Linked DNA regions of Caenorhabditis elegans. The protein of the gene in region 4 purifies or fractionates together with the protein of the main gene of each other region. This does not show direct contact. Each region holds a gene or a part of one and is shown on either strand. Other genes may lie near its edges. The genes, in order: Y53G8AR.6, hel-1, xpb-1 and thoc-2.

Evidence for each region.
Region 1: the proteins of thoc-2 (region 4) and Y53G8AR.6 fractionate together in Caenorhabditis elegans (co-fractionation; one large-scale study listed by BioGRID). This does not show direct contact.
Region 2: the proteins of thoc-2 (region 4) and hel-1 fractionate together in Caenorhabditis elegans (co-fractionation; one large-scale study listed by BioGRID). This does not show direct contact.
Region 3: the proteins of thoc-2 (region 4) and xpb-1 fractionate together in Caenorhabditis elegans (co-fractionation; one large-scale study listed by BioGRID). This does not show direct contact.

Annotation. Positions count from the first base shown.
Region 1 is NC_003281.10:3,292,838-3,297,753, reverse strand, and holds Y53G8AR.6 (SAP domain-containing protein), read right to left. Parts: upstream 3,012-4,916; 5' UTR 3,003-3,011; coding exon 2,871-3,002; intron 2,749-2,870; coding exon 2,423-2,748; intron 1,468-2,422; coding exon 1,164-1,467; 3' UTR 506-1,163; downstream 1-505. Other genes in the region: Y53G8AR.5 (RING-type domain-containing protein), read right to left, coding at 129-296; Y53G8AR.8 (ATP synthase subunit s-like protein), read left to right, coding at 3,425-3,623, 3,693-3,858, 3,947-4,070.
Region 2 is NC_003280.10:8,326,352-8,330,502, forward strand, and holds hel-1 (Spliceosome RNA helicase DDX39B homolog), read right to left. Parts: upstream 2,520-4,151; 5' UTR 2,519-2,519; coding exon 2,192-2,518; intron 2,149-2,191; coding exon 1,872-2,148; intron 1,826-1,871; coding exon 1,707-1,825; exon of another isoform or gene 1,582-1,706; intron 1,536-1,581; exon of another isoform or gene 1,345-1,535; coding exon 810-1,344; intron 764-809; coding exon 744-763; 3' UTR 501-743; downstream 1-500. Other genes in the region: C26D10.3 (Pyridine nucleotide-disulfide oxidoreductase domain-containing protein 1), read left to right, coding at 1-41, 89-298, 347-481, 2,941-3,005, 3,053-3,239; C26D10.4 (GHMP kinase N-terminal domain-containing protein), read left to right, coding at 3,417-3,480, 3,527-3,726.
Region 3 is NC_003281.10:11,524,913-11,529,694, reverse strand, and holds the start of xpb-1 (General transcription and DNA repair factor IIH helicase/translocase subunit XPB), read right to left. Parts: upstream 3,039-4,782; 5' UTR 3,014-3,038; coding exon 2,911-3,013; intron 2,857-2,910; coding exon 2,756-2,856; intron 2,403-2,755; coding exon 2,292-2,402; intron 1,407-2,291; coding exon 477-1,406; intron 1-476. Other genes in the region: Y66D12A.16 (Spen family transcriptional repressor), read right to left, coding at 3,234-3,400.
Region 4 is NC_003281.10:6,366,011-6,374,055, reverse strand, and holds thoc-2 (THO complex subunit 2), read right to left. Parts: upstream 6,015-8,045; 5' UTR 6,011-6,014; coding exon 5,915-6,010; intron 5,867-5,914; coding exon 5,735-5,866; intron 5,534-5,734; coding exon 5,442-5,533; intron 5,396-5,441; coding exon 5,176-5,395; intron 4,956-5,175; coding exon 4,773-4,955; intron 4,723-4,772; coding exon 4,570-4,722; intron 4,522-4,569; coding exon 4,017-4,521; intron 3,789-4,016; coding exon 3,387-3,788; intron 3,074-3,386; coding exon 2,254-3,073; intron 2,206-2,253; coding exon 2,097-2,205; intron 2,055-2,096; coding exon 1,916-2,054; intron 1,868-1,915; coding exon 1,008-1,867; intron 953-1,007; coding exon 572-952; intron 506-571; coding exon 284-505; 3' UTR 152-283; downstream 1-151. Other genes in the region: C56G2.15 (N-acetyltransferase domain-containing protein), read left to right, coding at 6,234-6,308, 6,401-6,540, 6,725-6,962, 7,163-7,363.

The DNA.
Region 1 (4,916 bases), 3.1 Mb from region 4:
CGAAAATACGCAAACACCAGATCTCACGACAAAATGCAGAAAATCCCGAAAAAACGGGTTTTCGGGGTGAAAAATGACGGGGAATTTGAATTTTTCACCCGAAAACACTAAAAAACTCCAATTTTTACCCCTTCAGAGACGGTCATTTCAATTAAAACCGATGCAGACGTGGATTCATCTTCCAATGATTTAATTTTATGCTTTAAATATCGCCGAGAAGCTTCTAATTTGGACTCCACGTGGACTCCATCCCAAATACTGCATAGGGCTTCAATTTCACCGTCTGCAGACTCCATTTTGGCTGAAAATTTGGGGAAAAGAGTCGAGTTTTTCACTAAAAATTTGATTTTTTGTGAAAAATTCAAAAATTTTCGTGGTTTTTCAGTGAAAATTCTCAATTTTTTCAAATTTTCGTTCTAAAAATTCAGCTTAAAATCCAAAATTTCAGGTATGTGATCGATCACACAACAAAAAACTCAAAACTCTAAAAATTACACAAAAAAGCTGTAATTATACTGGAAATCCAGATTTTTCATGGAGAAATTGGGAAAAAACAAAAAGTTAGAGGGAAAATAAGAATAAAACAACAAGTTTTGGGTTAAAAAATTGAAAAAATAAATAAAAAATATAATTTTTTTCGGGGAAAAACACACGAAAATCGAGGAAAATGGGAAATTTTTTAGGGAAAAAAGTGATTTTTTCATAAATTTTCACGAAAATTAGGGAAAAGTGATTTTTTTCAAGGAAAACTCGAGAAAATAATCAAATTTCGTTAAAATTTAATTTTTTTTTCGGCAAAAAATCTAAAATTTTGACGGAAAAATCGCAAAATTTAGCCAGAGTCGAAATTTTCTAGAAAAATCACAAATTCGAGAGGAAAACGATTTTTTTTCGATAAAAATCTAAAATTTTGGGGGAAAATTTAAATTTTTCAGTGAAAGTTGCAAAATCTCAGCAATTTTCATATATTTTAATGAAATTTTGAATTTCTTGGGGTACTTTGGTCAAAAATGTTAATTTTTACAGAATTTTTCAGTTTTTTCAGCAAAAAATTGGGTTTCAGCTCATTTTTCGCCAAAAAATTCAAAAATTTAGCTCAAAAATCTCATTTTTTCTCAATTTTCCCAAAAAAAAAAAGTAAAAAATGCACAAAAATCAGAAAATTAATTAGATGTTCCAAATCGTTCCATTCTTGCTTTTTTCTTTGCTTCCATCTCCTCATCATCAATTTCACCACCGAATCGTTTGGCTCGAGCAGCCAATTTTGCAGCTTTTCCCTCAGAATTTGGAGCATTTTTCGAAGCTGAAGCTGAAGCTGCTCCACCAACTGGAATTCCAAAACGGGCGGCACGGGCGGCCAGCTTATCATCAGCGGCAGGCGTTTTTGGGGTAATTCCGAATCTTTCAGCACGTGAAGCCTTCGCGTCATTTGATGTTAGTCGTTTTGAGTCTTCTGGGAGATCAAATCTGCAAAAAATTTGGGTTTTGGAGGAGTTTTAAGGTGAAAATTGGGATTTTTTTTGGGATTTTTGGCAATTTTTGGGTCAGAAAGTTAGAAATTTAGGTGTTTTTAAGTGAAAAACGGGGTTTTTGGAGAGTTTTTAGGTGAAAATTGGGATTTTTTTTTGGGATTTTTGGCAATTTTTGGGTCAGAAAGTTAGAAATTTAGGTGTTTTTAAGTGAAAAACGGGGGTTCTGGAGAGTTTTTAGGTGAAAATTGAGATTTTTTGGCATTTTTTGTATTACAGAGTCAGAAATTTAGGCTTTTTAAGTGAAAAATTGCATTTCAGGTTGGAAAATTTGTAATTTAAGGCATTTTTGATAGAAAATTTTTTTGGACTTTTTGATGGTTTTTAAGCGAAAAAATGAGATTTTTCGACTTTTTTGTGGTGAAAATCGGATTTTTCTGGCATTTTTTATACAGGAAATCAGGATTTTTGGTGTTTTTAAGGTGAAAATTGAGATTTTTTGGCATTTTTCAGTGAAAAATGAAGATTTTTAGTGCTTTTTAAGTAAAACTCGGGATTTTTGGCATTTTTTTTTCTTTTTTTTTTCATTTTTACAGTGAAAAATTAGGATTTTTCACGTTTGTTGTAGTTAAAATTGGAGTTTTTGGCATTTTTATCAGTGGGAAATTCAAAAATCTCAAAATTCTAAAAATTTTAGTGTAAATATGGCTGGAAATTGCGTTTTAGAGGTTTTTTGGGAGAAAAATTTGTAAAAATGCGAATTTACAAGTTTTTGAGTGAAAAAAAAGGATTTTACAGCAAATTTTCGTGCGAAAAACTTTAAAAATATAATTTTTAGTGAGAATTGAGGGCAAAAATCCCATTTTTCCAGTTTTTAAGCTGAACACGTCAGATTTTCCACAAAATGCATCGTTTTTCAGCATTTTTAAGCCAAAAATTGATAGATTTTCAACCTCTTAGCCCTGGCAGCCTTAGCTCCATCCGAGCCGAGGTCTTCAGCAGTGACGGGGAGCCCAAATCGTATGGCACGGGCTCTTTTATCAGTTTCTGCAGTAACTTCATCGATTTTCTTATCAATTAAATGAACTTCATGCTTCTCTTCTCCCTCGGATTTATCTGTTTTGTGCTCTTCTGCTCCGTCAACTGATCCCAGAAGCTTATCAGCTTCAGATTCGTCTCCAACACTCGGAGCATCGAGAATATCATCATTTAGAATATCATCTGATAATAAATGAGTGTCAGATGTGATTCCAGCGTCGCCCAGAAGCTCGTCGGCTGCCTGGAAAATTAAAAAATTTAAATTAAAAAAAGAAAAAATTTTTTTTTTTGCTTTTTTTCCAAAAAATTTGGATTTTTCGCTATTTTTTCATCAAAATTCCCAAATTTTCCTTCTTTTCCAACCTGCTCAATGCTTTCTGTGAGCCTTGCCAACAGCTCCGGCTTGTTTCCGGTGTTATCGAGCCCACGGCTGGCGAGTTCCTCCTTCAGACGTGGAACTGTCAATTTCTTGGCATCGGCGACGCTAAGAACCATTTTTTATCTGCAATTTGAACAATTTTAAATAAGAAAACGCGGGAAAAATTGGGAGAATCCCGCGAAAAAATCAATAGCGTAGGCTTTACAGGTTTTTAGACGGTTTCTAGCGGATTTTTAGCTGAAAATCAACATTTTTAACCCAAAAAATGCAATTTTCATTCATTTTTCAACAGAAAAACCAAAAAAATCGCACGAAAACAAGCGAAATCATTAATTTTTGTTTAATAAATTTAAAATAAAGATTTGCAATGTCTGCGTCTCTCTCCTTTACACACTCTCTCCACCGGTCCCATCGAGACCCACAGCCCATTTAATCCTATGCGCCTTTAAAAATAATTCTTTTTTTTTCATTTTTGCTCAAATTTGCTCAAAATAATCAGTTTTCCACGGATTTTCTCGAAATTTTCGACATTTTCAGCATGAACCGGGTCTATTGCACCGCGCGAAGCTTCAGAACAAGTGTAAAATCGAACGGATGGGTACATAAATGGTCGAGATTCAAGCGGTGGCAGGAAATGCAGGCGGCACATGTGGAAAATGTGCAGGAAAAGCAGAGGAATAAGAATTTTATTCGATTACCGACGGGACTGTATATTACACCGGAAAGACCCGATGATTGTGGGTTGTTAATTGGGAAAAAAATCGATTTTTACTGAAAATTACCGGAAAAAATTGGTTTTTTTCCAGTAAATCCCAAAAAAGCGCCAGCAGACATGACACGGAAGGATACTGGACAGTTGCCGATGGAGCTGCTGACGTGGCACACACAAATGCGCTACGTAGATCATTCAATCGATAATATTAAACGATATCGGAGATATAAAAAGTTTCAGCATATGCAATATGATCAGAGGCGATTTTTTATTGATTTTTATTGATTTTTCAAGAAAAATACCCTAAAAAATGCTATTTAAAACCTTGAAAACCCCATTTTTTTGCAGAGTAATCCCCGAAAGACTACTTTTCCTCGGGCCCGACCTGGCGGCGGCTCATTTTCTGGTACACAGAGGTGCGGCGGTGAAGTTTGTCGGCGATGATAATTGGTATAAGAAGGATAAGTGGAATGTGAGCTAAAAAAAAGAAAACTAAGAGGAAATTGCGAAAAAATTGGGTTTTCCCCGAAAAAATACTAAAAAACTCGGTTTCTCTGCGGGTTTTCACTTTTTTCTTGGGTTTCTAGACAATTTCCACCCTAAAATTCAAATTCCCCGTCATTTTTCACCCCGAAAACCCGTTTTTTCGGGATTTTCTGCATTTTGTCGTGAGATCTGGTGTTTGCGTATTTTCGCGGCTACCGTACTCCTACAAGTGAATTTTCTGGTGAAATTGTCAGTTTTTGGGAGATTCCTGTTTAAAATTCAGATTTCCCGTCGTTTTTCACCCCCCAAAAGCTAGTTTTTCTCATTTTTCCGCAGTTTGTCGTCAGATCTGGTGTGTTGCGGTGTTTGCGTACTTTTGGAGCTACAGTACCCCCGGACATTCCAATTTTGCGCTAAAACTTCAGAAAAAAGCTTTCAGGTGTAGAAATTGGCAGGAAATTCGATTTTCGAATCATTTTTCAGAAAAATTAATCGGAAAAAGGATTATTTCTCTTTTTTTTTCAAAATTTTGTTATTTTTCTCCATTTTTAAAGTTTTTTGCACAATTTTGAGTGGAAAATCGAGTTTCTCGTCATTTTGCACCCCAAAAAACGTGATTTTCCCAATTTTCTGCATTTTGTCGTCAGATCTGGTGTTTGCGTACTTTTGGAGCTACAGTACCCCCGGAAATTCCAATTTTACGCTATAACTTCAGAAAAAAAGCGTTTAGGGCTAAAATTAGGCGGGGAATTCGATTTTGTTAGTTTTTCGAAAATGCACATTTTAAATGCTAAAAAATACCCGAAAACTTAAAAAATTTTCGAATCTTCAG
Region 2 (4,151 bases), on a different chromosome or scaffold from region 4:
CCCAAAATTTGTCGGTACATTACATGGATAAAGAAAAGATGGTATCATTTTAAGTTATCGTACCATTAAGCCTAGTTATTTTATTAAGGCAGATAACCAGCTCAATCCAGATATTTTTATTTGGGCAGGAGGTGTAACTGCCAACTCAGAAGTCTGGGCTATGAATAAAATGCTCCAAATCACTGAAAATAGTGGAATTAAAGTCAACGACGCTTGCGAAACCTCACTTCCTAATGTTTTTGCATGTGGAGATGTTTGTGCACTGACTACCACAGAACCATCAACTCTTTGGCAACAAGTTTTATAACCATAGATTGAGTGTTAAATAAAGTTGAAATATTTTAAGAGACAATTGTGGACACAAGCACGTCAGCAAGGAGAAGTGTGTGGAAGAGCGATGGTGGCAGGCGTCGAAGAGGCTCGTATGCAGAATATGTATTTCGAACTGTTCTCGCATTGTACGACTTTTTTCGGGTTAAAGGTGAGATAAATAACAATTTGCATGGTAATTGTCGAATTTTATTTCCAAACACTCATGAAAAAAGAAAAATAAATAATACAGTCAAATTTTTTTGCGTGTAGTTGGAAACTGTTAACGATAACGAAAATTGGTAAATGAGACCACAAGAAACAGAGGTCGATAATTTAGGGGAAACAATAGGCATTTTACTCCATCAGCACAATGCCGGGTAAAACGAAGGTGGAACTCATATTTAGTTGAATGCATAGGAGGGTACATGGAATCAATTGGTTCGGCCTTCGACTGAAAATAAGAATTTTTGAATGGGCGTTGGTATATATAAACTCACTGTAGGTAGAGACATCGATCTTTTCTGGGAGCTCAGTGATGCTGATATCGAAGCGGTCTTGAACGCTGTTCAAGGTCTTGGCGTCATTCTCATCAGAAACGAAAGTGATGGCCAAACCCTTGGTTCCAAAACGACCAGCACGTGCAACTCTGTGAAGATACGAGTCGGAATCTTCTGGCATGTCGTAGTTGAACACGATGTTGACTCTTTCGATATCCATTCCACGTCCAAACAAATCGGTGGCCACCAAGATTCTCTTTTGGAAGTCTTTGAATGCTTGGTATCTTGAAAGTCGCTCTTCTTGAGCCATTTGACGATGAATGGCAATTGATGGGAAATTTTGTTCTGTGAGGAGCTGGTGGAGAGCTTCGCAACGTTTTACGGCCTTGACGAAAATGACGACTTGGTTGAACTCGAGTGCATCGAGAAGATTCAGCAAACGACGGTTCTTCTCGGCTTCCTTCAGTTTGACGTAATGTTGCTGAAGTCCGTGCAGAGTGAGCTTGGCTTCGTCGTCGACGTAGACTTCCATTGGCTGAAAAAATGTTTTAAGGTCTAGAACGGCAGCACGGTGATGAATCGGGGGCTGGAACGTGTTTTGCAGTACATGTCACGTGTTCCCGACAAGTCTTTCGACCTATTAGCAATCAGCTTCGCTGAGGCGAGCCAGCTACCTCCCCCGAGGACGATGGCTTCTGCGTGGCGAGAGGCTTAACAAGATGAGATCTGAAATCCGAGAAATCAAAAAGCGACTTCGGAATTAACGACCAACCAAGTTCTGGCCATCTCTTTCGCATCACGGAACACACATGACTAGCATTTTGGTTTGATACATGTTTTTTGTTTCAAAAAAGTGAACAGCGGTTCCGTAGGTTCCGGATCAGAGATAAAGCGTACGTCTTGCATGAATCGCTTGCAAACAGTGCGAAGCTCCTTTGGCAATGTGGCGGAGAACATCATCACTTGCTTCTGTTGTGGAGTCATCTTGACGATTTCTTGAACATCCCGACGCATATCTGAAAAAGTTCAATAATGATTCCTATATTTACAAGTATTTCTTACCAGCATCTCCGATCATCTTGTCGCACTCGTCCAGGACGAAGTACTTGACTTTGTCAAGCTTCAGCTTGCCAGAACGAGCCAGAGCCAACATTCTTCCTGGAGTTCCAACAACAATGTGTGGACAGTCATTGGCAAGGCGTTCCTCATCTTTCTTGATGGCCATTCCACCGAAAAAGACAGCTACCTTGACTCCTGGGAGATATTTGCTAAATCTCTCATACTCCTTGGAAATTTGGAATGCCAACTCGCGAGTGTGGCACATGCAAACAACAGATACCTGAAAACAATGATTTATTGAAATTTGATGTATTACTGTTTACCTCGCCATCCACTGGCTCCAGTTGTTGAAGAGTGGTGATTACAAAAACAGCGGTTTTACCCATACCGGACTTCGCTTGGCAGACAACGTCCATTCCAAGAATGGCTTGAGGAATGCACTCATGTTGTACTTCCGATGGATGTTCGAAACCGCAGTCTCCGATGGCACGAAGAATTTCTGGCTTCAAGAGGAAGTCACGAAATCCGGAAGAATGAATAGAAGCATACGTTCCTTTAGTTTTTCTGGCATCGCCTCCGCCAACTTCTGGCTGCTTGTCTTGGATCTCCTCCTGCTCCTCTTCGTAGTCAAGAAGTTGTTCCTCTTCCATTCTGAAACAAAAAAAAATAAAGGTCTTCATAAAAAGGGGCTTGAGATTAATCCTAATTTCACGAAGAAAATAGAGAATAGTGTTTAACCTATTAGAGAAAGTCACAAATAGAACAATCAAAAGAAATTTAGTAAATAACCTCACAAAAACAGATCAAAACAGGAAAATGCAGAGCGGTTGCTCCTCATGAAGAATAAACCGCGAAACGATACCCATTCGAATATTTTCGACGCGCGACGCACACGCAACGCGTCGCTTCGTATGGTCTCGCAGCGAAGTAATTAGCAATGGGCGGGTGTTCAAATACGAGAGGGGGAATGTGGCTGTAAACAGCTGTCCAGTGCACAAGACAATATTAGTAGCGAAACGATCCGAAAGATAGATGTGTGCAAAGAATCATAGAAAAACAAATGTTCTTTCAGGTGGTGTTTCTTGGAGACTACAAACCAGAGAGACAGGTGGAAGGAGAATGGAAGATTGTATTGAGGTACTGTACACTTTTTAGATTACAATGAAACATGCTCTAATATTCAGAGACGCCGATAACGATCAACTCGTTCGATGTGTAGTCGTCAAAAATAAGATTGTCGGTGCCCTTCTAATTGGCGAAACTGACATGGAGGAGACACTCGAAAATCTGATTCTCAACAAAACAGATCTAGAAGGCATTTCAGAAACATTCTTGGAGCCGGGAGTTGATCTCGATGATTATTTTGATTAGATTATTATTATACTGTATGATGTTTATACATTTTGTTGTGTTTGAATAATATTAAACCAGTTTTCTACTATCTTTTTCACATCTATACATTTTCTGCGTCTCCATCTCTTTACCACGTGGAATACACCAGTGCTAGTCGTATTCTCCTTGCTCTCTTACACTCTTTTTCTCTATCAAATGCGTTGGGACATTGTCACATTTTCATTAGGGTTCAATATAGAGCCAAGTAGTATTGATTCAGGTTCAATTTTCATACGATATAAACTACAGACACACTCGTATTATAGATATACGACATTTCCAAAATATCGCCTTTCCGAATTGCGAAGAAATACTTGTAGTAAATGATGCATCAGAAGATATAGGATCTTGTGGAAGTGCATTGAATGCATTAATAAGAACTGCTGAAAGGCTATGCTACAGGAATAATTTGACAGTACTCACAGAATCCGTCTTGCAAGACGTGAACGTGTTAATTGTTTTGGTGGTGAGTACTTTTTATTATTTCGATAAAATAGTAGAATAAAAATTATAATTAATTTCTTGGACATTGAGAAATAGCTGTAATTATAATTGTACAATGAAATAGGCATAAATACATTTTTTGTCTCAAGTTTCAATATTTACGGTGGCGTGTAGTAAAACATCTTAAAACGTGTTGAAATTTTCCATTTTTAGTCAAAAAGTGATGATAATAGAGTTTTCGCCATTCACAATTTTGGATGCCGACCAAAAAATAATAATTTCTACGAGCTTAATATTTATTGCGTTTCAACTGTATGTTTTAAACATGTTTTAGAACACTTCTGGGTTAAAACCTGCATCAATGCTCAAGATTATTCAAAAAGCCAATACATTTGAAAATTTGGGAATTTGTCAAAACGTTGTCTGAAAAAACTTTTTTAGAATGTT
Region 3 (4,782 bases), 5.2 Mb from region 4:
GGTTGAGAACTCTGCCGCATTTTTTGTAGATCTACGTAGACCAAACCGAAATGAGGCACTCTGACCAAGGGTGTCGGTTTTTCGATTTTTCAAAAAATTGAAATCGAAAAATCGAAAATTCTCGATTTTTCAAAAAATTGAAAAATCGAAAATTCCCGATTATTCAAAAAATCGAAAAATAGAAAATTCTCGATTTTTCAAAAAATTGAAAAATCGAAAATTCCCGATTTTTCAAAAAATTGAAAATCGAAAATTCCCGATTATTCAAAAATCGAAAAATCGAAAATTCTCGATTTTTCAAAAATTAGCTCGAAATTTTCTTCATTTTTTGAAAAAATTTTAATTTTTTTCTCATCAATTATTTTTTATGGTTAATTTTTCGATTTTTCAGAAAATCTAAAAGTCGAAAATTTTTCAATTTTTTTCAGATTTTCCTCTAAAATTCTTCATTATTTTTCCACTCCTTCCACTCCAACCTTGGTCGCATCGGCTCCCGACGGTGCTGGATCCTTCGCCTCTCTAGTAAACCTGACAAGCTGTTTATCCTGAATCGTGCTCCAAAGCTTAAACTGAGCCCTCCACTGTTCGACAGAAACATTGGAATTCGCCAACACTAAACATCTCTTGTTAACCGTCGTCACAGCAGTCACTCCGACAAGCGTCTTTCCGGCTCCACACGGCAGAACAATCACACCACTTCTCGCACGACTATTTCCAAACATTTTCCGTAGGGATTTCTCCTGGTACGGACGAAGTGTAGTCGATGGTTTCAGATCAATTCCAAGGTTCGGATTCAAAGTGTCATTTCTGAAGTCGTACTCGGCGAGCAGTGGATACTCAAGCTCGATACATCGTTTTTGCACTGTTTCGATCGTTTCTTGTTTGATCTCAAACGTTAGAAGTTGCAAATTTCGAATCTCTGCGTCTTCCTCATCATCTCCATCGATTTTCCCGTAGAATTCATCAATATCAGCTGGAACTTTTCCATCTGTCGCCGCCGCCGCCGTACCGTCTGCTGCTGCTCCATCCTTTTCCACACCCTTCTCATTCTCATTTCCATGTGAGAATTTGATTTTTTCCTGTGCAGGAAGCTCGGTTTGCTGAGCAGGTTGCACACGATCATCTAGAATACACGACTGGATCACAGAGTCCTTGAGAAGCTTCTGCATAACATCGGAATGTCGCGATTCGACAAAGTATCTGTTATGCTTGAGCACAAGCTTAACCTTTCCGTAGCTCACAGTGCACATTTGAACGAATGTGATGACTCCTTTTGGCAGTTGACTTTTACTTAATCGTTCCAGGTATTCAATGATATCTTTTGTTTGTAGGCCAACTGATACAGCTGCGTAGAGAGAATAGGCAGTTAGCTGGTATTCGTGGATGTGTTGTGGACGGCAGACGGGCTGAAAATTGGAATATGTAGCAGGGATGGGTGGCGATTGCAGTTCGGCAAATTTTTTTCTCGATAAATTCTGCAATTTGCCGGACTTTTTAAATCCGGCACTTTGACGATTTGCCGGAAATGTCAAATTCGGCAAATCAGCTATTTACAAGACACGTTCAATTCCGGCAATTTGCCGATTTGCCGGAATTTTAAACTCCGGCAATTTGTCAATTTGCCGGAAACTTTCAATTCCGGCAATTTGCCGATTTGCCAAAAAATTTCAATTCCACCAATTTGCAGATTTGCCGGAAAATTTCAATTCCACCAATTTGTCGATTTGCCGGAAACTTTCAATTCTGGCAATTTGCAGATTTGCCGGAAAATTTCAAATCCGGCAATTTGCCGATTTGCCGGAATTTTAAACTCCGGCAATTTGTCGATTTGCCGGAAACTTTCAATTCTGGCAATTTGCAGATTTGCCGGAAACTTTCAATACCGGCAATTTGCCGATTTGCCGGAAATTTTCAATTCCGGCAAGTTGCCGATTTGCCGGAAAATTTAAATCCCGACACTTTGACGATTTGTCGGAAATTTTCAATTCTGGCAATATGTGTAAGAGATAATCGAAAAATTGAAAAATCAGAATTTCGATTTTTTTTTTTTGGAAAAATTTAATATTTGTTAATTTTAGGCTCAAATTTTCAGTCATTTTCCATGAAAAAAAAGTGCTGAACCTCTAAAATTGACCTGAAAAGCACTAATTTGGAATTTTTTACGGAAAAAAAAATTAAAAAATCAAAAAAAAATTGGCCAAACATAATTTTTACAAATAAATCTTTTCAGATGAATCAAATTTTTTTAAATGAATTTTTTTCAGAATTAACTGAAAAAAGACGTTAATAACCTCTGAAATTGCAATTAAAAAGTCCCTGGCGTGCTTGTAAACCGGGCTGAACGACTCGAGGAAAATATGACCATCCGGAGCAACCCACAGCGGTCTTGCAGTGAAATCACCCTGAAAATTGTGAATTTTCAATTAAAATTTGCCAATTTGGGTTGAAAAACTCGAAAAAAAGTGTTTTTTAACGATTTTTTGACCGAAAAAAACAAAAAAAAATAGCAAAAATTCGTAACTTTTTACATTTTTCAGACCGAAATTATTTTAGAATAAAGTAATTTTTACGATTTTCCCTGGAAATTAACCAAATTTTCGATATTTCGGGGGAAAAATCGTTAATTTACTGAAAATTGGGTGAAAAAATCATGAAAATTAGGGTTTTTTTGCCAAAAAATTGTAAAAATTGCCATTTTTCTGGGTTTTTCAAGCTTGTCAGACCATTTTTTCGAATTTTTAGAGCTTCTCCATACTTTCAATGGCATATCCTTTCGATAATCTTTGGCTCCAAACTCATCAGTCATCACTGACGACGCATTTTCTCCGTTCAAATTGTGCGAGGCAGCTTTTGGAACTAAAAATTTAATTTTTTAATTCGAAAATTTCCAGGAAAAGAGCCCCGCGTTACCAGAACTAGTTTCCTTGTCAGCATTTCCAGAATACAATGATGGAGCTTCTTCTGCTTTGTAGGTATCCCATTTTCCGCGTCGTTTTCGCTCTTTCGTCGCCATTTCTTTTGGAAAATTGAAAATTCGTCTAAAATACGAAAAAAAAGGAAGAAAACCGGGGGAGAAAAAGTACGCAAATACAGCGAAATTCACGACAATATGCAGACACAGGAGAGGAGCCAGAGGGGAGACATATAAATTTATAAAACAGCTAGTTCTTTTCACTAGACTTTCATAATAAAACAAAAAACAAAAAAAAAAACGAATATTTATAAATAAACATTTAATTCGATCCATATTGGGCGGCGGTGATCACGTGTACGTTGGGCGGCAGATTTTTGGGAAATTGAATGACGTTCGTTTCTTCGAAATAGACATTTCCTTCGCAGGCCACGGTGCGGCGAGACTCGATTTTTATAGTTTCGTGGACTGTTTCGACGGCTGAAATGGCTGAAATTAACAAAAAAATTGTTCATAATTATTAGAACGCGATCTCTCGCGGCACCTCACGAACTCCAGAATTCGCGGGAACTCGTTTCGCGGGGACAGCAGTTTTTGGCTTCTATAGGAAATTATTTTTATTTTTTTGTTTTATAATATTCTTGAGAAGCATCATCCGAATTTAAAATGTGTGAAATTATGAAATTTGACCGAAAACTGAAGGTTTTACAGGAAGGATTCGCTACGGCTTTCTTTAAAATGTATCAGAATCGTCAGTTTTTCGATTTCAGTCGTAAAATATGCCATTTTGTAGAGAAAAGTCTGTTTCACAAAAATCCATGTTTGACATTTCAAAATTGTTTTTATTTAAAACCTGAAAAATCGAAAAAATAAGCTTTTAAAGGTGGAGTAGCGCCAGTGGGGAAATTGCTTTAAAACACGCATATGGTACCACAATGACCGAATATCATGATAAAAATTTTTTCTAGATTTTATATGATTTTTTGAAAATTGAAAAAATCTCAGTTTTGCCTAATTCCTATTTGAATTACCGCCAATTGGATTTGTTCGATGGAGCGCGCTTGCACGTTTTTATTTTTATTTATTGTTATTTTTTCTTATTTTTCACCGACTTTTCATGTTTTCAGTGTATTTTTGTCTGAAATTTGAAGAAAAAGTCAAAATAAATGCTAATTTTCGATTAAACAGCACGCTTACAGGCGTTAAATTAAAAAAATGCATTTAAGCGATTTCGAACCCGAATTAATTAATTTCAAAAAATAGCATTTATTTTGACTTTTTCTTCAAATTTCAGACAAAAATACACTGAAAACATGAAAAGTCGGTGAAAAATAAGAAAAAATAACAATAAATAAAAATAAAAACGTGCAAGCGCGCTCCATCGAACAAATCCAATTGGCGGTAATTCAAATAGGAATTAGGCAAAACTGAGATTTTTTCAATTTTCAAAAAATCATATAAAATCTAGAAAAAATTTTTATCATGATATTCGGTCATTGTGGTACCATATGCGTGTTTTAAAGCAATTTCCCCACTGGCGCTACTCCACCTTTAAAAGCTTATTTTTTCGATTTTTCAGGTTTTAAATAAAAACAATTTTGAAATGTCAAACATGGATTTTTGTGAAACAGACTTTTCTCTACAAAATGGCATATTTTACGACTGAAATCGAAAAACTGACGATTCTGATACATTTTAAAGAAAGCCGTAGCGAATCCTTCCTGTAAAACCTTCAGTTTTCGGTCAAATTTCATAATTTCACACATTTTAAATTCGGATGATGCTTCTCAAGAATATTATAAAACAAAAAATCAAAAATAATTTCCTATAGAAGCCAAAAACAGCCAAAAACTGCTGTCCCCGCGAAACGA
Region 4 (8,045 bases):
GTTCCCATAGATTGGAAGTCGTTCGGAAATTTGACGTTGTCTTTTGCTCACATTTAGCACTTGATCTTCGACTTTTGGATTGACTCTTCGAGCAAGCATTCTATATTCGAAATACTTCCATTGCTTTCACATTCCAAGAAGTTCAACGATCCAATGTCTTTAGATTTAATGCTAACAAAAAATAAAACGAATATTTAATAATCCATCAGGATACAATAGAAAACCTCGTAGACAACATAAACTGAGATACAATAATGAAAATCTGGGGATATGTGGTGAGAGCTCATCTAAATGTTCGATGCCCACGATCTCTTCCACTCTTTCCAGCATCACGTGCAGGCTCTGCTATTCTTGATGCCTTTGGAAGTTCTTCTTTTTTTTCTTTTCGATCATCTTTGCGATCTTTTCGAGAGGACGATGTTGATTTTGAAGGCTCCTCTAGATCAAACTCAATCGCTTTTCGAGAGCCTTTCTTGTCATCTTTCTTGGGAACTGGGTCGGGAAGCTGAAATAAATCACATTTTCGAAAGGAAAATTTTGAAAATAGCTTGAGAAAACGTTAATATCTTACCGCGGGTCCTGCCACTTCAAGCTTCTCATCGGACGGCTTGCTTTTTTGCTTCTGATCTTTGAGAATCTTTTGTTCTTTCTGGTTTTCTCCATTTTCTCGCTTCCTTTCCTTATCCTTTTCTCGTTCCTTATTATCCTTCTCCAACCGTTTCTCTTTTCCTGTTTCTTTGTCTTTCGATCGTTCTCTTCTTTTCTTACCTTCTCCTTTTTCAGATTCTGTGTCCTTCGGAGATTCTTTCTCATCTTTCTTTGAAGGTTCATCAGACCGTTTTAAGCGATCAACAATTCGAGTCTTCTTTGCAGGAGGGGGACTTGGAGTCTTCACTTCACCATCTTCAGTTGTTGGCTCTTTCTTTGATTCTTTTGATCCGTGGGATGATTTCTAAAATTATAATAGTTAGTTCAGTTCTGTGAATTTTAATAATTTATGTACTCACTCCAGGTCGCTTCTTTCTCTCTTTGTTATCTACTGTAGCTTTCTTCTCTGTTTCACTTCCATTCTGATGTACTTCATCATCTTTCACCACTTTCTCCGAACTCGTCGTCCCATTTTTCTTCGAATCTACTTTAATCTTCTTATCAACTGGTTCCCCATCAGCTTTATCTTTCTCATCTACCACTTTTTCTTTTTTCTTTGGTTTTTCAGCACCGACCGACACCTTCTTGTTGGGAACTGGGGCGTAATCCGAATTTTGAGCATAAATCTTCACAGTTCTCATCTTGAGCTTTCCAACATACGAGGCTGCTTTTAATGATAGATCGTCACGTTTTCCCTTCTCTCGATCCTTCAACTTGGTTACAGCTGTTTCCATTGTGGCGACTGCATGTGATATGACTGGAAATCCAGATGTCAACTTTGTCATCATAATCAATGAATTTCTGATAAGTACATAGTCAGCATCATCTTTTGTGAAGACTGTCTTAAACATGGCAGTAAATCGAATTTGCCATCTATAGCATAACTTTCGGAAAGTTTGATATTCAATTGCTTGTTTTGTGATCATTCCTGGAAATCCTGCACATTCCTTCTCGAAAACTTCTTTCTCCGAGTGCCATCTTTGAACAGTGCAGAGCAGAATTTCAAAGAAGCATGCCAGCGAGTTGGCTTCGTTCTCGGTGAGCCCCGCGATCAGAGGAATTATGTTCTCGAAGAGTCTGTCAATGATCAGAACCGATGGGAAGAATGGAGTCCGCATTTCGTGAAGCATCATGAAGAATTGACCACAGAACACTGCATCAAGTTCGGAGAATATGGCACGTGGCAGGAGGCATTGTTGAATGAGAGCTTCCAATACAGCTGGAAATATTGGAAAAGTATTAAAGCGGATTTCATGCATAAACTTACAATTATGGAATTGCTCATCAATCAACGAGTCTTTCTTGTTCAGAAGCCATACTTTACAACGTTCCACGTGCTCAATTTGCCTCTTCTGCTCTTCTCGAAGCTTACTCTCCAACTGTTTATCAGTTTTCTTAGCTTTTCCCTGAAATAAAAAATAGTAGATTATTTATAGATGAAAACTAACATGACTGTCTTCTCTTGACTGTTTCTTTAAAGCATCAAGTGTCCGTTCATATGCAGCTGTCGGAACTTCGATATCATACATTGTCAGCATCCAGAAAACAGCGAAGAATCTGAAAGAAAAATTTAGCAAACTGGGCGAAAATTTGATAAAAACTCACTTCACAGGTATATTCTCCTCCATGCCAGGTTCAGATGCTTTCAGCTCATCCATTAACATTTCCACTTGTGATTCCAACGCACTTGTAAACATTTCAGTCTTTTGCTGTGTATCCAAACGAGTCTTTTGTCCATCTTCAACAGCAGCTTTCGAGATTTTTTTAGCCGCATCATAGTGATCTGATATTCTTGAGAAGAAAATAGGTCTCGCCAGACACATTGTGGCTTCCATTCCAAGTGAATAATCAGATAACAATTCACGAACAGTTGGAACTCGTTTCGAAAAATCATCATTTTTCAGATAAACACTCAAAAATGAAACGAGTTGTTGAAATGTGTCACTACACTGATCAACCATTTTTCCAACAAGTTTCAATGGAAGAGTAGAGCTTTCATTGTAGACAATATGCTCTTTTTGTTGAGCAACTGAAATTGCCAATCCAACAGCCAAATCTCCTTTCAGAAGTGCATCACGTAGACGTTGAGCAGCTTTTCTATTCTTTGTTGCCGTTGAATATCCACCAGCTTCCTGTTTCAACAAGTCTCCACCTCCAAGTGCTTCAATTTGTTCTTTCGTTGCTCCACTGATACTCTCGATCCATGACATATTCTGGATAATTTCTCGAAGAAGAAGCATATCGTAACTTTTGCAAAGTTTCAATTGATTTAGCACATAGTCTAGCATTCCGTTCAGTTCGAGTGGATATCTTCGATAGAGAGATCCAACCAGTGTTCCAAGAGCTTGCAGCCAAGGAGAGATGGTAGCATCAGTGGATTTGAGAGCTTGTTTCGATGGATCAGCCAATTGGGAGATGATGCAATCTGGAATAAATGGAAAACCTTCAAATGAGAAATATTTAAAATAGATTTGAAAAAGTTTGACTTGTTTACAAGTGAATGAAAAAAACGAGAATTTTTTCACATAGCTAACTGAAAGACTCAAAAATTTAAAATGTATCAATTTTTCCATAAAATTTTTTTATGAATTTATATGTTAAAATCTTAAAATTTCTCAAAAAAAAACGTTCGAAATTTACAAAACCTTTCAGTTTTCGTGGTTTTAACAAAATAATTTTTTGGACGTTTTTTCTCGTTTTCTAAAAAAAATTGTTTTAAATTTTGTTTGAAAACTTACAAGTGAGAACATCAAATTCAAGACTTGTCAAATATCTCAAACTATCCACAACAGGTCCAATGAAATTATCAAAAGTTTGCACTTGACTGAGGAGATATGAGAGTACTGTAGATGGATGTATATGACACAATTTTCCCAATTGTCTGCCCATCATCTTTACAGTTTCCTTCGAAAGACGCTTCAGAACATATTTTGTTCGTCCATGAATTTTCCCCTTCATTATATGCATTTCTGGATGTCTTGAAGTTTCAAGATTCCATTTTGAATACATCCAATATCTCCAAGAATACGGGAAAAGCTCAAGGAGCTGCCAAATCTCTTCACTAAGTGCAACATTTGTTTCGGACAGTGTGAGAGATGGTAGAAGACATTCGGAGACGACTTCCACGAAATTTTGATTTACTGAAATAATGATATTTAATTTTGAAAATGGTTGTTTTTTTTTCTTCAAAAATACGGTGCTCGATCTCGAAGTGACAGATTTACATAAATTTTAAAAAAGTACAAAAGTACAAGGAGTTCTGTAGATACGAACTAATTTTTCCTAGTTTTTATCGTTTTTTCAAAATGTTTTGTTAACCTTAATATCGGGGCGAAAATCGCAAAATTTCACATTTGAAAAAAACCTACGTTTATCATCCTTCGGTAGCAGATCCTTGTCAACTTTTCGGTAGTAGGCAGTCAAAAGTCGAACAATTTTGATATTTGTTGAAGCACGAAAGGCTATTCTAGGTCCCAAATAGGCAAGTACACTTGACAATTTTCCAAGATCTTCCCAACTTTCGATTGGTCTTAATCCATTTCCCATATCATCTAACACTGGTTTCGTCGATTTTATCAAATCTCCAAACAAGTTCAGCGAACAATTTTTCTTGTAAAAATCGTTAATTGATTTCTCAATTATTTTGCAAAGAGCTCTACAGAGTCGTGGACTAGCTTGAACTGCATAGTATTCTGGGAGACGATCAATGAGCATTTGAGCTTGTTTCCAGTTTCCACTTTCTAATAATGCACACGTTAAACCAAGCTTCTGATTTGATGAGAGAACATATTCCTCATTAAACCCTTCAGATAATTTTATATCCTCGTCTTCTTGAAGTTGGATTACTGTAGTGAAGGAAATCGTTTGCGTTGTCTGAAATGTTTTTAAAAATTAGATAAATATTCAATTTTCCGACCTAACCGCATTTCCACCTATTCCATTTTCATCGAAACCTCTTGAATCCATAATTGGCATTGAAGCTGTAGAAATTGTTTCTGCTTTTGATGCTCTTTCTTGTGCATTCTGCATTCTTGAACGGTGCCCTTCTTTAATTGCTTCGGCTTTTGGAATCATCTATAAATATTAATTAATAATTTCGAATAATTTAAAACGGGACTCCTCACATATCCTAAAATCTTCATCATATCGATCATTTCATGTTGAATGAGCGAAGCTGTCAGAACGTACAACGAATATGGCGTTTTCTTCTTTTTATCCGATTGATAGAATGTGAATTTGAAGCCCAGAAGTGCACACAGATAGTCACGGACCACGTCAATTTCTTTGAGAAGTGCAATGAAAAGGAGCTGAAATTAAAAATAAATATTTTTAAAATACAAATGAGCTGGATTCGTTTCAAGATTTCTTAATCTCATCATTTGAATTTCCAATTGTTTTATTTGTAAAGGATAAACGGAAAAGTTATAAATTCCAATTTTTCTCTATTGTTGAACTTTCAAATAAGCTCCGCCCACATCATGGTTGACCACCAAAACATCATGAATTTATGCAGATTCTTTATTTTACCTTCTGCCTCGGGAAATTCTCGAAAACTTCCAATATAACGTCAGTGACACGATTTGGATCCAAATTGAACTGTCCAATTAATGAAAGTACTCGATGCTTCAGAATCTTCGCATGTTCATTCTCATTCGCTGAGCTCTCGGCTGCTTCCATAAGCTCTGTGACAAGTTTTGAGTAACCTTCAGACTCTTCTCGAAATAAGTTGAATTTGGCCTGTTTGAAACTGAAGAAAAATGAGTTTTTGCAGAAATTGAATGAATTTAACTTACTAGACTTTTGTTTTCAACCTAATTAGTGCCTTGCTGTGATCATCTTTTTTGAAACAATCCAGCTCGAGGCGGAGGATTTCTTCGGGGATTATCTGAAAAAAATTTGGTATTTTTACAGGAAATTTCCAGTTAAAATCTCATTTCTTTGTTAAACAATTTTGGATTAAGTTAGAATATTAGTTTTTTTCAATCCTGAAACTACAGGTTAATTTTATTTTCCGCCAATAATACTATCTTCCATATAAATAAGCCTTTTTTGAACCTTGAGCTTTAAAAGTTGAAAGTTTTATTACCGTGTTAGTGAGTAGATTCACAAAGGATTCAAAATTCTCTTTGGAAGTGCTCGCGTTGTCAGCGAACTCGCTCTCCGGCTCGGTGAGCACTAACACGTCGATCAGCTCCGAACTGATGGCATCTCGATCTTTCTGAAATTAATGATTTCTAATTTGTTCAAGATTTTAAATGAACGAAACCTTCTCTGTGAGTATCCTTTCATAAGCCTTCATCGGTGTGATTTTCATGTGAACAATATCGAGACATAACTGGGTTAATGTTTCGAAATCGTTCATTTCTCTGTAATTATAATAATTCAATCAGAAACTAAAAAAAGAACATTAAAAGGAAATATGAGATTTCAAAAATTAAACTTTTTAAAGCGAGTTGGCACTTTGCCAGCCGAGGCAAACAAGAGTGAGAACGCGTGGACGGGAAATCTAGAGTTGAGATTTCTAGGCCATCGAGTGTGATGAGGGCATCTGAGCTCAGAAACATAACCAATTATCGGGTATTAGGATGCCGGACTTATTTTTTGTTACGCTTTATGATAGGCAGGATCTTTTGAAGGAGAGTATGACATTTTTGAATTCGGTGAGTTGTATTCTAGAGTGGTTTTCTAAATGTATTTTTTCTTTGGTAAAATAAATAGCTATATTCATAATTTTGAACTTTTCTAATTCCAGGAATGGCCCAGAAGCGATGGATCTCGTGAGCATTCACAGAAAAAATCATGCCGTCAGTCCCCTCCAATGTCGTTTTTGTTGCTCAATAAGGAGAATGACGAGATACTAGGCCACTCAAGAATCACACATCTTCCAAATCGGTGAGTAATTGGAATAAAACAATAAAAATTTGAAACTTTCGGATTATATTTCAACAATTAGAAAATTTGATAACTCACTAAAATTTCAGGAAAAAATATTTAAAAAGTTAAAAAATTTTAGCCTGAAAATAAAGGAAGCTATCATAATTCTCAAACCATTCTCCCAAAATTTGTTAATTTTCAGTGACCATGCCTTATGGATTGAGTCAGTGATGATCAAGAAGGATCAACGTGGCCTTGGACTCGGGAAATTCTTAATGAAATCCACAGAAAAATGGATGACGGAAAAAGGTTTCAATGAAGCATATCTCTCAACTGATGATCAATGTCGATTTTATGAATCTCTTGGTTATGAGAAATGCGATCCGATTGTACACTCGACAACAGCCACTTGCATCTTTCCAGCCATGAATCATTTTCAGGTAAATAGGCTTTTGAAGTTTTCAGAAATACTAAAAAATCATGTTTCTTGAAAATTCACAAAACTATACTCAGATCAATCTGATTTAGTTCGGAAATTTTGGAGATCCATCTTCAGATTCAGTCTAGAAAAATTGAATTCCTTAGTAGAAAATGCACAATTATTCAGATTTTTCTATAATTTATATCATGTTAATTTCAGAACGCGGCCGCATCCAACCCGTCCTTCCTATCAAAGATCGCACAGCCTTCAGCCTCGTCAACAGTCTCAGCTTCTGCTCCACCACCACCACCACCGCCTCCGATGGCTCCAAAAATGGTCACCAGATCCACGTCCCCGATTGTGGACGTCAACACGATTGATCACCAGTACATGAGAAAATGGTTAAAACCAACTGAATAATATATTGAGAAAAGAATACGCAAATATGAAATAAGAATTTCTACTTTTTATTGATTTTCCGCATAATGTAAAGTAATTTTAAGAATTACAAGAATAAAATAATTGAATGAGAGGGCGTGGGTGTGTTTTCTTAAAAACAACAACGAGTGAAGGGGGAATTACAGAAAAAAAGAAATAAAAAATGGGATAGAGATGGGGGTGATAGGTGGAGATGAGGGGATATGAAAGGTAGAAGAACCTGGTAAAATGGTCTGACGGGGCTCAAAGGGAAATGGGGCTCAAAACCAAAAAAGAATAAAAAGAAATTACCTAAATGAGAGAAGAAAGGCTACTAGACGATCTGTGTTTGTTGTGGGGAGAGGAGGCATGGGAGATAGTGGATAAAAACGATGATGAAGCTAACAAAAATAAAAACGAGTTGATAGAAAAAATAATGGGTCGCCTATTGCGAAAACGGTTCAGATTGGGAAAACAACAGTAGGTACAAAACAGCCATTCTGTGCATGTATACAAGGAATCATTCTGTGAATGTATTTTGAGATATAAAAAATGAGACGAGGATGAAAAACGAGCACGGAGAGACAGAAGAAAACAAGAATAAACGCGCAAAGCGACGGCACATTTTGTGAACTACCCTAGAAAGATATCTATAACGATTAAAGGCATGAAAAAAGCAGCCAAC